Nothobranchius furzeri: one gene and its partner. The protein of the gene in region 1 purifies or fractionates together with the protein of each later gene. This does not show direct contact. Links are inferred from orthologs where the notes say so. Each region holds a gene or a part of one and is shown in the gene's direction. Other genes may lie near its edges.

Region 1 (8,314 bases):
ACACACAATGTTCACAGAAATAACTTGAATCAAAAGAAATAATAAATAAAAATTCTATGAAATTGAACCAGTGAAAGTCACACAATGCTTTTCAGCCATGCTTCAACGGAATTATTAAATAAACTCATGGAACAGGCCTGGACAAAAACGATGGTACCCCAACTAACATCACTGCAATCAAATGATTCCTGTAACTGTCAGTGAGACTTCTGTACCTCTCAGCAGGTATTTTGGCCCACTCATCATGAGCAAGGGAGCCTTTTCCAGATGGCATGTTTCAGCTCCTTCCACAGATGCTTAATAGAATTGAGGTCCGGGCTCATAGAAGGCCACTTTAGAATAGTCCAGTGTTTTCCTCTTAACCATTCTTGGGTGTCTTAAGCTGTGTGGTTTGGGTCATTGTCCTGTTGCAAGACCCATGGCCTGCAACTGAGACTAAGCTTTCTGACACTGGCCAGCATATTTCTCTTTAGAATCTCTTGGTAGTCCTGAGATTTCATTGTACCCTGCACAGATTCAAGACACCCTGTTGCAGATGCAGCAAAGCAGTCCCAGAACATAACAGAGCCTCCTCCATGCTTCACAGTAGGGGCAGTGTTCTTTTCTTGATATGCTTCATTTTTTCCATCTGTGAACATAGAGCTGATGTCCCTTGGCCAAAAGTTCCATTTTTGTCTCATCTGTCCATAGGACATTCTCTCAGAAGCTTTGGGGCATTTCAACATGCAGGTTGGCATATTCCAGTCTGGCTTTTTTATGATTTGTTTTCAATAACGGGTGTCCTCCTTGGTCATATCCCTTATAGTCCACTTTGACACTGACATTGACAGGTGATGCGATCTGACACTGATGTTCCTTGAGCTTGAAGTTCACCTAGAATCTCTGCAGATGTTTTTCCTGTCTCTTTTGTTACCATTCAGACTATCTGTCTCTTTCACTAGTCATCAATTGTCCTCCTGCAGCCAAGTCCAGGGAGGTTGGCTACAGTCCCAATGATCTTAAATTTCTGAATAATATGTGCAACTGTAGTCACGGGAACATCTAGCTGCTTGGAGATGGTTTTATAGCCTTTACCTTTAACATGCTTGTCTATAATTTTCTTTCTAATCTGCTAAGACAACTCCTTCTTTCGCTTCCTCTGATCCATGTTGTGCGTGGTACACACCATGTCACCAGACATCACAGTGACTACCTGGAGCCCTATATGTGTAGGTCTACTGACTGATTACAAGATTGTAGACACCCATGACGCTAATTAGCGGACACCCCTTGAATTAACATGTCACTTTTGTCACATAATTCTCAGTCTTTTCCAGGGTAACATCATATGTGTTCAGGCCTGTTCCATGTGTTTGTTTTTTTATAATTCTGTTGAAGCATGGTTGAAAAGCAATGAAGCAATGAAACGGTTACATTTCATAAAATTTTTATTAGTTATTACCTTTGTCAGATTCAAGTTATTTCTGTGACCATCGTGTTATTTTTTTTTTCATTGACCCAACTGACGCTTGATCTTACACAGAAAATCAGAATTTTCCTAAAGGAAGTTCAAAAATTTGACTGGAAGAGTATTCCTGCTTTGACTCTGCTCTGAAGTTAAACCAGTATCAGACTGGCTCCAGAACCCCACCAGCACCTGGTTGAAAACATTTCTTTTCTTATTTCTGTTTTATTTGATTGCCTGTAAACAGCTTGCACCTCTACCTTTCAGTTCAAACAAACTATTGATGAGCTGTTATTGCTTTTTGTTATCTAGGTTGCAGCCAACACTCCCAGTATGTACTCTCAGGAACTGTTCCAGCTCTCCCAGTATTTACAGGTACTTCACTGACATCTGCTGGTTGGTCTGTGGATCTACATCGAGACCGATGAATGTTATTTATCTCTCTGTGGTATTGAACTCCTTCTTCTTGGCTGTCTCGTTTCTGCAGGAGGCCTTACACAGAGAACAGATGTTGGAGCAGAAGTTGGCCACTCTGCAGCGCCTGCTAAGCACCACACAGGAGGCCTCGGAGAGCAGCTGGCAGGTAGGAAACGGTCACCTTCCTTCTTCACCTACATCCTACAGACAAAACAGATACCAAGTGTAAGGGTTTATCCTCAGTAGACCTGTTCTCTGCTGTCTTTAAAATAAATGCTTTTTCTGTCTGGAGTTCAAGTTCATTAAATGAGAAGTTTTCAACCACAGTAACTAGTTTGTCTCATCCAGGCTCTGATCGATGAGGACCGCCTCCTCTCCAGACTGGAAGTGATGGGCAGTCAGTTACAGGCGTACTCTAAGGTGATGGGTGAACACAGTCAAACATTTAGCTCACTCAAATCAGCATGTTACCATTCAGTATTGATGTGTGGTTTTCTCTCACAGTCCCAGACGGAAGAAGGGATCCGTAAGGAGCTCTTGGCTCTTCAGGAGGACAAACACAACTATGAGACAACAGCAAAGGAGTCTCTGAGGAGAGTCCTGCAGGAGAAGATTGAGGTGGTCAGGAAGTTGTCAGAGGTTGAGGTGGGTTAATAGCCACATTCACACAGCAAATAAAAGTGTCACAAATCTGACTTTTTCAAATCTAAGCCGCTTTCACATCAGATCCTTAATCAGGTACATATCTCAGTCTTAACGTTCATGTCACGTTACATCCACCTTTCACATCCCTGATCTTTGGCTGGCGACTCAAATCTTCACCAGAGGAGGCAAAAATCATAAATGTAAACAATAAACAAACACGGTTCTGTTCACCACGTAGTCATGATTCTGTCAGCTCTGATAGCACAACTGATAAACACACCAACATGTGCAGCATTCATATTCGCACGCATGAACAGAGCTAGTCACGTGTGACATCACATCTTGTGTACCTGGGGTCTCTTCAGTGCTGTAGACTGATAACACGAGTCTAATTGCTGTTTTGTTTTAGTTACAATGGGAACAAACAGATAAATGCATTTCAGCATAAAATCAGACTTGAGTTCTAAGACCGGCAGTTTGAACATAACCTTTAACCTCATCTAGCCTCTGCAGACTGCTTTACAACCTAGTTTAATGCCCATATTTGCACTCATGTAGAGGTGCAGCACTTTTCATTCCCCACAAAGACAATTTGAGCTAATTAGAGGCAGCGTGATGTCTCTGTCTCACCCACTGATGCTGTGGAGGATTCATAGGTTGAACCACATGGTTGTGTCACTGAACCACAGCTGCTGTTTGTTCATAAAAAAAAATTGTTACGTTCTGCAGCGCGCTCTCAGTAACACCGAGGATGAGTGTACCCACCTGAAGGAGATGTCAGAGAGGGGCCAGGAGGAGCTGAGGGAGCTGGCTAACAAATACAACGCTGCTGTCAACGAGATCAAAGAGCTCACTGACAAAATTAAGGTACCTAAACAAACAGGTCAGGATTAACGAGAATTAAGTCAGCATAGAAACGTCTTTTGAAAGCTTTGTTTGTGTGTTTAAAACTAAAATGTATTATTTTATTTCTTACCTCATGTTTTCTTTCTTTTATCTTTCAAAACAACTCTTTTCTTTTTTATTTCATCTGCTTGTTTTATTTCTGGTTTGCTTCACACTCGTCTCCCCTTCCTGATTTTTGCTGCTCCTTTTCTTCTCCTCCAGGCAGCCGAGGGCAGGCAGGAGGAGCTGACTCAGCAGGGGGCAACAGAGAAAAGGGAGATGGAGATGCGAATTGAAGAGATGGAGGAGAAGGAGCAGGTTCTCCAGGCTCGTATTGAGGCTCTGCAGGCTGACAACGACTTTACAAACGAGAGACTCGCGGCCCTCCAAGGTACAAATTAGTTCATCAGACAGTTACCCTGACAGATTTACTTTGTCCTTACTTCTAACCTCTTTAATCCAACCTTTAATCATATATTTTATCATAATTTCCATAATTAACCTCAAAGTGAATCATGTCCTCCATGTTGATGTTTCCAAACCCTGGTCCTCAGGGCACACTGACCTACATGTTTCCCGTGCTTCCGCACACCTTATTGCCTCCTCAGGAGGACATCAAGTGCTGCAGATGCCTGTTAATCCCTCATTCATTTAAGTCAGGTGTCTGGCAGCAGGGAAACACTGATGTTTAAAAAGGACAACATGGAAAACATGCAGGACAGTGTGCCTTGAGGACCAGTTAGGAAACACTGTGCTATGTGACACTATGAAGACAAATACTTGTAGATCAGAAGCTGGATCAGCAGTGTCTCATCAGATCTACTTCTGTAAGTTACTACTTTGCTGTTGTTTACAGTGCGGTTAGAACAGCTACAAGAGAAAAGCATTAAAGAGAACAACAGTCTTGGTGAGTCCACGTGTCTCCAGTCTGCTGTGAGACAAAGGTTGTGTGTCTGTGGCCGTTCACTTCACACGTTCATCCTGCACTAACGATGCATGCCACCCTGCTGCATGATATTCCTTTTCCTGTTGCTCACCGTTCTTGCAGCTCTTCTTTGTTCATTTGTTTCCTACGGTGGGATTCTGGTCGTTCATCTTCTGTTTTCATCTTGGAGGTGGTGGGATGTTCACACTCAGCCTGTCTTCCAGGAATAGGACAAGAAATGATTCATAAAGAGATTACAGATAAATCCACAAACACCTGAAAGTGTGTTGACTCCGTTTTACAGGCTTGGAGAGACACAAACTCCCCCCATTTTATGTTTTTAATTAAAGATCTAAAGAACTGTTTTTTGTTTTAGAGTAATGTTTCCTCTTCACATTAGAATATTTTATTATATCAGGCTTCAGAACAATTAAATATAGAAACTAGACATTAAATAAAAACCAGTCAAAAACACAAAGCTTTGTAAGAGGCCAGAGTCATCGTCCACATGAATGTTTATTAGAAAAAAAGACAAATTGTTCTTTTTCTCCCACTAAGTGGGTTTAAAACGTAGCTGTGAGTGTGACCATGTCGCTAAAATCAATCTAACTGGATTTTCGAAGTCTCTGGGAATGTTTTGCGTTTCTAAAACAACACAGTCATTTATTTTAGCCACTGGGTGTGTTTCAGTCTGAGAAGGGTTGTCCGTGGGGACGTGTTGTCCACTCTTAATGGGCTTGTTTGATAGTCTGGGTTGTTTCCACAGTTTTCAAACTGTCCACTGCTTTTGTTTATTCTTCTTGGGGAAATTAAAGAAGCTTTTGGTCACTGATTGACTCCTGGTGATTGAATGTCGACGCCATCCTTTTAGGTGACTGTTCACTGCTCACTTTGCCACAGCAGCCACATTTCTCAGGAGCCCTCCATCATTTAGACTTTGTGCTGTGCATGTGTGTAGCTGGTAGAGCCTCCGACAAAATGGTGTGTGTCTGATCTGGTCACATGACAGATGTCGACACGGTCTCCCGTGGACCCGTAGAGGAACCTGTCGAAGACAAACTGAACCTGGAGACGGCTGAGAGCCAAGACGAAGATGAGCGGGATTCAGATACTGATGGTAGTTAGTTTAATTGTCATAACAGAATAAAATATCAAGCACGTTTTTGTCTTCAGAATGAAAGACAATAAGCCCTTTATGCTTTCAAATAAAGAAGGAATCAATGTTATATTTGAGTTCTTTCTAGGGATTGTTTGTTAATTTGATTTATGTTAAAAACAAATGTAGAAAACTAGATAAGAGTTCATGTTAATCACCAGTGATGTATTTGATTCAAAAACAAACATGTTTAAAAGGTGGAACAAAGTTTGGTTCCAGAGGAATTTAGTAGAAATGTAAATATAAGAAACGGGTTTGCTTATTAGGCTGCCTGTTTGAGTTCTCTGTCCAGAAGAAACGTGATTAATAATAATAATCCCTTCATGCTTTTCTTTGTTTCAGTTGTGAAGCAAATAATGTTTGGGTGTTGAGAATTAGTTTCAGTGTTCACGCTCACAAAAGACATCTCAATGTAAAACGGTTGGCTAGTCTGCAGTTGTTTGTTGTTCTGGCAGGAGTTCTGGTACCAGAACCACCGTGTTTTACTCTCGGAAACAAGTTGTTGCTTTTTTATCTTTGATTTCTTCCCCATCTGTCTGGCCAGCGCCTGTCTGTCCATCTAGTTTTTGTCTGTCTATAATTCGTCAGCACTGCCATGCTTTAATTGCTTTTATCTGTCTCATTGTCCTCACTGTGGCATTACTCATAAAACATTACTGTTTGGGATTTATGCTTCAATCTTTCTATTATGATTCTGCTTCTTCAGTCCAGGAAATTACAATGTTGAGAGCTTCACTAGGGGTGTAACGGCACGCCTGTAAACCCTTCTTTCCACCGGAGCCGTCAGCAGCGCGAGTCGGCCGCGTCTCAGGAGCAGCATGTCACGGCCCTTACGCGCTGGTTCTATTTTCTACGCGCGACACCTCTGAAACGGGTCAAGTTCGACATTTTTGGGGAAGGAAAGACAGGAAATCGGATGCGGAAACGGAGCGAAGCTCCCGAGATTTTCAGAATAAAGAAACGTACTGCCTTCCGGTTACTTTACTTTAAAAAAAAGTGACTAGCTGTGCGGCCCCGTGAGAAGTTATCACCTAGCTAGCGGTCTCCTTTGTGTTTCAGGTCCGTTTTGGCGATTATAAAACGGACAGAACATAAAACACAAACCATGTTGTAATTTTCTCCTGCTTGTTGTTGTGTTTACTGACGAAGTCACTCATGTGACTTCGTGCTCTGTCGGTGACAGCTGCTCCCCTGCTGCTTCGCGTCTCGTGGGAAGGGCCAAGCAGCAGCTTACGCGAGCAAGACGTGCTGCTGCAGTAACTTGCTGCTGACGGCTCCGGTGGAAAGAAGGGGTAATCCCGGTTTGGTACATACCTCGGTTTCAATGTCACGGTTCGATTTTCTCAGCTGTAACAGAAACATCAGGCAGAATTTTTGAAAAGTTTAGGAAATTAACTTTCTATATTTTCTTAATGCAGCATCAGGAGTTCCAGCTTGTAGCCTTGATCAGGTTCATTCAACCATCACATGTTTGATAAAAATATGAATTTGTCCACATTGTCTGCTGAAAGGACAGATCTGTTGGTAGTTGCAGTTCAATTCAATTCAAAATACTTTATTTATTTTGCCTCCAGACCTAATGGGGACAGAGGCAGCCTGCATCACTGCTAAGTATGAACTTCTATTTAACATTGTCATGGTTGCTAGGCGATGATACTTAAGCCAATGTTAGGGCAGGGATAAATCTGAAGGCTAGACCTTCAAATTTCACAGTCGCTCACTTTCAGTAAACGAAGGACTGGTGTCTGGTACCGACACCAGCCTCCCTAGACCGGGTAGGTCGGGTCCTTCGAAGGATGCAGCCTCTGAATTGGGACACAGCTGCATGTGTTGTTGGGTAAAATTAATGTTACATGTCTGTGGGGGAACCTGGTACACTCTGTCCCTTACTGAACTCTGAATATGATACATGTATCGTTACACCCCTAGTCTTTATACAAACGTATGTATGAATGTAAAAGATCAGCATTCAACTAATTTGTTTTCTGATTTAAAATTTTTATACTATCATACAAATAATAATGAGATTAAGAAGCCCTGCTTCAAACAAAGATCACGTTTGTGTCTGAGGTCCAGCTCTATCTGGTACTGATGAGCAGAGTCGGTAAGGTCTAAGTTCTGCCCGGCTCCAGTCTGATGGTTGTGGTCCTCTGTGTCTCTGTCAGACAACTGTCATGTCAACAACAGTGGAGGAGACTCACCTAGAACCCCACAGTTGATTGAGTGTCCGCGTGAGTACAAACATGCCCTTCAGATGTTTACAGATACACACTCTTTATCTTCTACCTGCTGCTCTACGGAGGCTCGTTGCTGTCAGGAAGAGCACCAAAACAGAAGTCAACAAGGAAGAGAGTTGGTCTAAGGGCCAGTATCGTGTTTCTTTATTAAAACTTAAGAATTGTTTTTTTATTTATTGGAGAGGAAACTTTCTTTGTAATGTTTGGGTGCAGATAGTTAATATATATGAAAATAGTTATAGTTTCATACAACAAATTGCTGGACAAAGAGAATGTATTTAAAGTTTCTGGATGCTAAGACACACACGTTTTTAAAAAACAGCAAATTTAGCAGTACGACACCTTTTATTGTTGTTTACATACAGGTGCAACCTGTTTTAGGGAGGGTAATACTGCAGGGGTGCTTTGATGGTTTTAACGTGGATTTACACAGTCAGACAAAAGCCTGAACGATTTGTTCACATTCATGTCTGTTTTATTGGAGATTGTTGACCCTAAATGACCTGTTGTGGAAGGATTGGACGTTCAATCACCAACTTTATTCTTCCGAAGAAAACAAAGAAATCGATAAGCCAGATTTCTGGCTGATGTCTTACTAGTGTTCA
Region 2 (8,314 bases), on another chromosome or scaffold:
CTTCAGCTGCTTTTTAAAGGAGACCACTGAGTCCACTGATCTCAGGCTCAGGAAGAGAGAGTTCCAGAGTCTGGGGGCTACAGCAACAAATGATCTGTCACCTTTGGTCTTTAGCCTGGTGCTGCCTAACCAGTAGGCTTTGATCACTGGACCTCAGGGACCTGCTGGGGGTGTAGGGACTAAGAAGATCGCCAATGTAAGATGGTGCTTGTCCATGTAAGGCCCTATAGACCAGAACCAGGATCTTGAAATGAACCCTGAAGTTGACCGGCAGCCAGTGAAGCTGGAGGAGAAGTGGGGTGATGTGGGTGTGTTTGGAGGACTTGGTCAGAAGCCGAGCACAGGCATTCTGAACCACCTGCAGACGGTTCAGGGAGGTTCTGCTCAGACACGTGAAAAGAGAGTTACAGTAGTCTAAGCGTGAGGAGATGAAGGTGTGGAGAACTGTCTCAAGTTCAGAGCGGGACAGAATGGGACTCAGCTTAGCAACGTTCCTGAGATGGAAGAAGGAAGAGCGAACAAGAGAACTGACATGAGAATCCAGGATGAGAGCTGGGTCAAAGGTCACACCAAGATTCCTGACAGAGGGTTTGGTGTGAGAAGCAAGCTGAGCAAGAGAGTCTCTGACTTTGGGAACCAGCAACCATTGGTTGAAAAAATGTGAACCTTAATGGACTGCTTATATCAGAGATTTTTGATGCAGTCCGATATAATCCGATACACTGTTTTTGGGCCAATATCAAATTACTTTCGACATCGATATCGGAACGGGACATCCCTAACTTAAATTTGGTGCCCTAAAGAGAAGGAAGCCCCTCTAGGATCGCTGATCAACATGCAGAGCTGAAGCACAGCAGAGAGGGAGGAGGAAGAGCAAATTTAAAATAAATAAATAAATATAACATTTGTGACTTAGACAGAATAACGACATATAAAATACATAATAATTATTTTTGGGCTGCTCAATTAATCGAATTTTAATCCCAATTACCATCTGAGTTTTGAACGATTATAAAAACAAAACAAGCCGATTATTTGCTCCTCCCACTTGCGCTGCCCGAGTTGCAAATGAAGCGCTCCTCCCACAGCTGTGGTTGGGACAATTATTACATTAACTGACGGATCTGTAAATAAATAGTTCATGAATAAGGTATAAATAAGTTCCTCACGCTGATAAATAATAACTAACCTCTCTGAGGACACGGTGCTAGTGCACTCTCCTACAGCACCTTGACACGACTCATTAAATGTTATGCAACATTTTGTGAACATCACTTTATTTGCATGTATTTGTTATAAATGCCACTGCATAATTCTTGCTGTCAGTATTTGCAAGATATTGGTATTTGGGTCTGTACTGGTTAGACTTAAATGAGTTAAACCAAGCAGTGGCGTGTCCAGATCTTTTAGAATGGGGTGGCCCAGGTGAGGCACAACTTTGTGCATGGGTGGCACCAATGGTTATGCTTTTCTTTTTGTTTTACCCCCAAGCCTTTTGTGGACAATGAAAAGCCTATTTAAAGTTAAATTAGTGTGGTGGTACCTGGGGTGGCCAATCAGATTCCAAGGGTGGCATGTGCTACCCCAGACCACTCCCTGGACACACCCCTGAAACCAAGGTCTATAGCCCTTGGGTCATAAACTATGAGCTATAAGTGTATTGGTCTTTTTTATACTGGGAATCGGGTTATTTTAATTCAATTCAATTCAAGTTTATTTATATAGCGCCAAATCACGACAAGAGTCGTCTCAAGGCACTTCACATAATAAACATTCCAATTCACAGTTCATTAAACCAATCAGAAATAATGTTTCCTATATAAGGAACCCAGCAAATTGCATCAAGTCACTGACTAGTGTCAGTGACTATACAGCAATCCTCATACTAAGCAAGCATAAAGCGACAGTGGAGAGGAAAACTCCCTTTTAACAGGAAGAAACCTCCAGAGAATCCTGGCTCAGTATAAGCAGCCATCCTCCACGACTCACTGGGGATTGAGAAGACGAAGCAGGCCCGCACGCACGCACGCACGCACGCACGCACACACACACACACACACACACTAGTAATGTGTCTATAGGTATATTGTGATGTCTTTTAGTGATCATCTTGTTTCTTATTTATTTTTGTCCTGATTGTGCCCTGAGCAATTTTATGACGGAATAAAAACAAATAAAATCAACATAAATTGAAAAATCGTCCTAAATAATCGAGATCTCAATTTCAGTCACCATAATCGTGATTATTATTTTTGCCATAATCGAGCAGCCCTACTTATGATGCTAATAACTGTCCTGAAGGCATTTCTCTAAAAACTAATTTAGTGTTATATCACAATAATTTTCCATCAAAGGAAACACTTTTAAGACAACATGTTTCCGTTTCCTCTCCTCAGAGTTCTCACGTGGATCCAGAGGAGCTGTTCACCAAACTGGATCGAATTGGAAAAGGGTCTTTTGGAGAAGTGGGTCCATTTTCATCTTTGTTTTGTCTCAGACATTCCATTCCTTCCTGATCCTAACTTTTTATCTACCTCCAACAGGTGTTCAAAGGCATCGATAATCGCTCTCAGAGTGTTGTCGCCATCAAGACGATCGACCTGGAGGAGGCGGAAGATGAGATCGAGGACATCCAGCAGGAGATCACCGTGCTCAGTCAGTGTGACAGCCCATACATCACCAAATACTTTGGCTCCTACCTGAAGGTGAGAAAAGACATAGTTCAGGCTGATCCGAGTCTCGTCGGTGACGAAGGTGTGTGTGAAACAGTTAACAGAGAGCAGCCGTAGTTAGTGTCTGCTGCTGGTTTCCAGCATCTGCTTATCGTTTTCCTTTTGCTGCATTTGCTGTAACTTATTAACACAAATGGTTTTCTTGTTCAGGGCAGTAAACTATGGATCATCATGGAGTATCTGGGTGGTGGTTCAGCGCTGGATTTGGTGAGCGAGCTGGATTTATCTATTCAGTCTGTCTGCAGACAGTTTTTAACACTAAAACAACCTTCAGGTTGAGTTTTATGCTAAGTAGCTGCAGTTTAGTAAAAAAAAATTAAATGTCCTCACACTTAATCTTGTATCATCTAAAATATCTGAGACACGATGTTCTCTGATGACAAACCTGAGCTTTTATGTTGCATTTTATCAGCCAGTAAAGTCCAGCAATGGTGCTACAATGTCTTGCCCCGTTAGGTTGGTTTATGCTTGACGCGTCCGCGAGGTCCGCACCGCTCCGCGCGGAAAAGTTGCGTCATTTTGCGTCATCTTAACAACCACGCCCCTCCACCGCGCCTCCGCACGGCCCAGAATTTCCGCAATGCGCACGTCGGAAAATTTCTAACCACGCGGACAGACGGACGCGGAAAAACATGGCGGACCGGCAAGAACTACTACGGCAGAGGTTCGTAAACACAGACATTTGTATGATTCAGCTCTCAAAGATCACCGTGATCAACATGTTGTTAATAATTCTTGGAGAGAAATAGCTCGCACTGTCGGAAAAGACGAGGACGCTGTTAAAAAATGCTGGAATGCCATGTTGTAAACAGTAATTTCTACTTCTACTATGGTGTAGTGTTGGATGCATGCCGTAGAGCTCCATGCTGCCCCCTACAGTTTGGGAGAATATTGGCTCACCGCAGAGACGAGCCGCACGAACCATAAACGCTGCAAGTTGTGAAGCACGTTCCATCCGCGAGCCGCATCACCGCGCGGAAAGTGAATGCGTCAAGCATAAACCAAGCTTAACAGCATGCAAGACTTAGAGTTGTGCTTGTCATGAATCCTCTTACACCTCAGTGACAAAAAAGAGGTTTTGTTTTTCTCCCCACCAAACATACAAAATGTCACACTCGGATTTTGGATCTTTAGCCCCAAGTTTTAAACATCAGGTCAGAGATTTGGGTGTCATTTTTGTTGTTGTGTTGTGTTGAATTTTGACAAGCAGATTGACTCAGTCATCAAGACTAGCTTCTTTCAGCTCAGTTTTAGCTAACGTAAAACCGTCTTAAGTCACTGTGACCTGGAAAGAGCCAAGCAGGCTTTTAGCAGCTCCCGTCTGGATTGGTGCAATGCTCTGTAAACGAGCCTAGCACACAAAACTAGTCCAAAACGCAGCTGCACGTCTGCTCACCAACATCCCTAGGTGGCAACACGTCGCTCCTGTCCTCTCATCACTTCATTGGCTCTCTGTTAGCTTCAGAATTGAATTCAAGGTTGGACTGTTTCTGGTGTTCGTGGGCTCGCACCATCCTACATCTGTGACAGGCTCTCATTACAATAGCAGGGCAGAGAAACGAGACCCTCTGCTAAATTTTATCTACATGTTCTGAGATCTGAATGCAGACAGCGAGATGATCGCCAAGGCTCCCTCGTGCCAGCTTGACCTGCGCATGATTACTGATGTCACCTTCTTAAAGTCTGGATTAAAGACGCCTCTTTCACATGATTTTTCAAAATCCTGGGGGTGTTATCTGTGTTGAATCCCAATTTTTGCATTTTAACCGGTTATATTTGGGCTGCATGGTGGCACAGTGGTTAGCACTGTTGCCTCGCAGCACGAAGGTCGCAGGTTCAAAACTCGCCTTTCTGCGTGGAGTTGCGTGTTCTCCCCATGCATGCGTGGGTTTTCTCCGGGTACTCCGGTTTCCCCCACAGATCACAACATGCTCTATAGGTTAAAAAAAAAAAAAAAAATTGTAAGTCGCTTTGGGTAAAAGCGTCTGCTAAGAACATAAACAACAAACAACATATATTTGTCGTCTTAAAATGGCGTTCATTTTGTATAACTTTTTATAGTAGTTCTAAATTGTTTTACATTGGTTCTGATTTTTACTTTTTATCATGGTTCTTAATTATTTTAATGTCACTTTTACTTTCTTTCTTTCCATATTAAATGTTAACCCTTTAAGCAACAAAGTCGCGATGTTGTGACGAGCCACAGCTACAAATGCGATCCCTGATGAAGTTACTACTTTACACCAGAAGATAGTGGAGATGTTATTAGTGCAGCACCAGCTCCAAACATTGGGTTTGAAGTTTGTTTCACCGTGTTTGGGACATGGTGGATGTAGAAATGATGGTTAAAAACATCGCTAACGTGACAGACGTAGCGGCAATGTAAAAAAAATTTAAAAAGCCGTAAAAAGGCAGCAGATGCGTTCGTTATGTACGGAAGCCAAAGTGTGGCAAATAATCATAAAAATATTTTTCCTTTGGATCAAATGATCATTATATTCGTGGGAAGGACGTCCCTGAGGCTGCACAATCCCAAAGAAACCTGACAAATATGACTAAACGCATTCCTCTAGAGTGAGCCCAATATAAATATAAAAAAATACAATATAAAAAAACAATGCAATTCAAATTTCAAGAGCTTTTATATACATGTATATAAATTCGAAATGTCAAATTATGATGAAAATGTCTAAATAACCTGAAAAAATGAGGAACATCTGTAAAAATGATGCATTCCAATATGGCAGCCTGGTGATGTCATTATGCGCAAATTAGATGAGCGAATTTGCTCCCAACACAAATTTTGGGTCCTACTGAAGATTTTTCTCATTTACAGTTTACCTTTATCTTTAACCATTTCCGAGCTACAACCTTTTGAAACAGTCATGTCAAAATTTTACATTTTCTTGAAAGAAATCTGGCGCCCAAAGGGTTAAACCTTTGGTGGCCCTCTGGGTAGTGTAAAGCGCTATATAAATAAACATTAATCGATTGATTAATTCATAGTCTTATTTAAAATTAATCTGATTCTGAATGAACCTGATCACCTGGTGTGTGTGTGTGTGTGTGTGTGTGTGTGTGTGTGTGTGTGTGTGTGTGTGTGTGTGTGTGTGTGTGTGTGTGTGCGTGCGTGCGTGCGTGCGTGCGTGCGCGTGCGTTTGTGCGCGCAGCTGAAGGCGGGACCATTTGAAGAGTCTCAGATTGCCACCATGCTGAAGGAGATCCTAAAGGGTCTCGACTACCTGCACTCTGAGAAGAAGATCCACAGAGACATCAAAGGTTAGACTTCAAAATAAGATCCTTCAAAATAAGATCCTTCAAAATAAAATAATAATAATTTAACTAAAATTAAGTCGAGAAGCTGCAGAGATCCAAACTTTTAGTGCTTGGTGTTGATGAAGCCCAGAATCATTTAGTGTTCCTTGTCATCATCCAGTTTACAGTGTAAGTTGTGAAAATATTCATTTTTGGTCAATTTGTTTTGTTTGATTTCATTTAAAATTTCTTGCTAAAATTAGTTTAACAAAATAAACTCTTTAGACATTCCTTTACCACATTTTAAAAGTTTTGTTTTTACCCATTGAAAGGCAAACTCCTGCTTTGAAGTAAAACTATTTATTTTAAATGTATTTCTGGAAACACCTAGTTTAGTCTATGAACTTTGACCTTTTACATTCCTGGTAAACCACTCTGACAGCAGCACCACATTCAACCGTTTTAGTTGCAGATCCGTTTAAAAGATCTTTTTTCTGTTAAAAATCTTTCTTAAATGTTTAACCTCCACACCAAGACAAAAAAATAAAACTTACCACCTTATAATTTTAGTTAATGATGTGAAACTAATAAATGTTCTCTTCTCATGTTAAATATTTGAATAATGATGACATTAAAATATTAAAAGAAATGAATCTAATAATAATGTAGGGTAATAACTTTATCTAATACCCTATGGCCCATGAGTCCACCACATATGTGGACGTTAGTTTATCCTCCTCATCTTAGGCATTTTTTTGTTATTTAGAGATACTTGATATTGACTCTAAATCTAAAAATATTTTCTTTTTCTTTCTTTTATTTTGGGAAGTTTGTCGGAACGTTTATTGTTCTTATTTATGACTAATCTGTAGCTTCAGCAGCACGTTTAGAAGACTTACTGAGTAAAATATGCTCTACAAAGTAGTCCATCAGCCAATAAATGTTGCGCTGTTTTATCAGTAAAGAGTAACTTATTGGTGATGTTTTTCTTACGTTTGGACAAACTTTCTGATAGCTGGATTATAGTTTGATATTAAAAATAAAAGTTGATTATTGTCAACAGCCGCCAATGTCCTGCTTTCGGAGCATGGCGCCGTGAAGCTGGCTGACTTCGGAGTGGCTGGTCAGCTGACAGACACACAAATCAAGAGGGAAACCTTCGTGGGAACGCCATTCTGGATGGCGCCTGAGGTCATCCAGCAGTCAGCTTACGACTCAAAGGTCAGTCACCTGTTTACCTTGGTAACCTTCATGCCTTATTCTCTAGCTCCAACATAGCTGAGACCAAAAGGTGAAATTTTTCTTTGCTTTCTAGATTTTATTTTCTTGCATTTTACTCCAAAAATTGAATTGAACCCACAGATTAGTTCTATTAAAAGTAAATCAGAATCAGAATAGGTTTATTGCCATTGTCAGTGAGCAAACAATTCACAAACTAGGAACTTGCTTCGGTACTAATGTGTTACATATAACATGAATAATAAGATTAAAAATAGAATAAATTAGAATAAAAATAATAATAAAAAACTAGAATAAAACTTTCAGCTATAAAAAAATGGCAGGTAATGTTAACATGGCCGATAACGTGACGTTAAAAATGGTTCTTGTGTCCTCTGGTCTTTTAAAAAGCTTCAGATCTGCTGTGGAAATTGATTTATTGCATGAACTGTTGTGTGCAAAAACTACATGAAACTTATATTATTTTAGTGTCTAAAAGCAGAAGCTGTTTTTAGTTACGTCTGTTTTAGAAATGACGTCTCATCTCGCCTAGACCAAACCACCTCACAGAGCTTCTGTTAGTCAACATGAGGAAGCTAATTTGAGCCAGTAATGCAGATCCGAATCTCAATCATTTTGTCTGCGTGCTGGTTTGTTCAGAAACGTATCGCGTACGCAGACGACGCCCCACTGTATCTGAAAACCCACATTTCTCTGTTATTAAATCTTGACTGACACAGAAACTTTTGTTTTTAACTGGCTAATAAGGTCCAAGGCAGGTCTAAAAACAGCTTTGACCCTAGTTCGAGTTCCTTGTTGCTGTGCTACGAGGTTTGCATATTTCTGAGGCAACCTAAACTGCGTGGATCAACGCGACTCTGAGCTCGTTTGCATTATTTCCGAAGCGCTCCCGGTTTTATTTGCATGTGATGAAAAGGCCTGTCCAGCCATCTGGTTGTGTTTGATGCTTTGTGCAGCAGACGACGACATGATGAGGTTTCAGGTTTGCTGGGATTCCCTCATCAGGCTCTTTGTTGGAGTACTAAAAGTGAAGCCAGCTGCCTCACACACAAAAGCCATGGTTTCCAGGTGGTGAATGCTGACTGTTG

What was found.
Region 2: the proteins of slmapa (region 1) and stk26 purify together in Homo sapiens (affinity purification with mass spectrometry; 5 studies listed by BioGRID and IntAct, with this or other methods). This does not show direct contact. The link is inferred for Nothobranchius furzeri from reciprocal best matches to the Homo sapiens genes SLMAP and STK26.

The regions. Positions count from the first base shown.
Region 1 is NC_091743.1:68,924,394-68,932,707, forward strand, and holds part of slmapa (sarcolemma associated protein a), read left to right. Parts: intron 1-1,756; coding exon 1,757-1,819; intron 1,820-1,931; coding exon 1,932-2,027; intron 2,028-2,209; coding exon 2,210-2,281; intron 2,282-2,365; coding exon 2,366-2,506; intron 2,507-3,235; coding exon 3,236-3,373; intron 3,374-3,613; coding exon 3,614-3,782; intron 3,783-4,247; coding exon 4,248-4,298; intron 4,299-5,325; coding exon 5,326-5,433; intron 5,434-7,637; coding exon 7,638-7,703; intron 7,704-8,314. UniProt on the Homo sapiens protein: Associates with the striatin-interacting phosphatase and kinase (STRIPAK) core complex, forming the extended (SIKE1:SLMAP)STRIPAK complex.
Region 2 is NC_091742.1:86,838,498-86,846,811, forward strand, and holds part of stk26 (serine/threonine-protein kinase 26), read left to right. Parts: intron 1-2,396; coding exon 2,397-2,465; intron 2,466-2,543; coding exon 2,544-2,705; intron 2,706-2,882; coding exon 2,883-2,939; intron 2,940-5,902; coding exon 5,903-6,011; intron 6,012-7,050; coding exon 7,051-7,208; intron 7,209-8,314. UniProt on the Homo sapiens protein: Serine/threonine-protein kinase that acts as a mediator of cell growth. Modulates apoptosis. In association with STK24 negatively regulates Golgi reorientation in polarized cell migration upon RHO activation.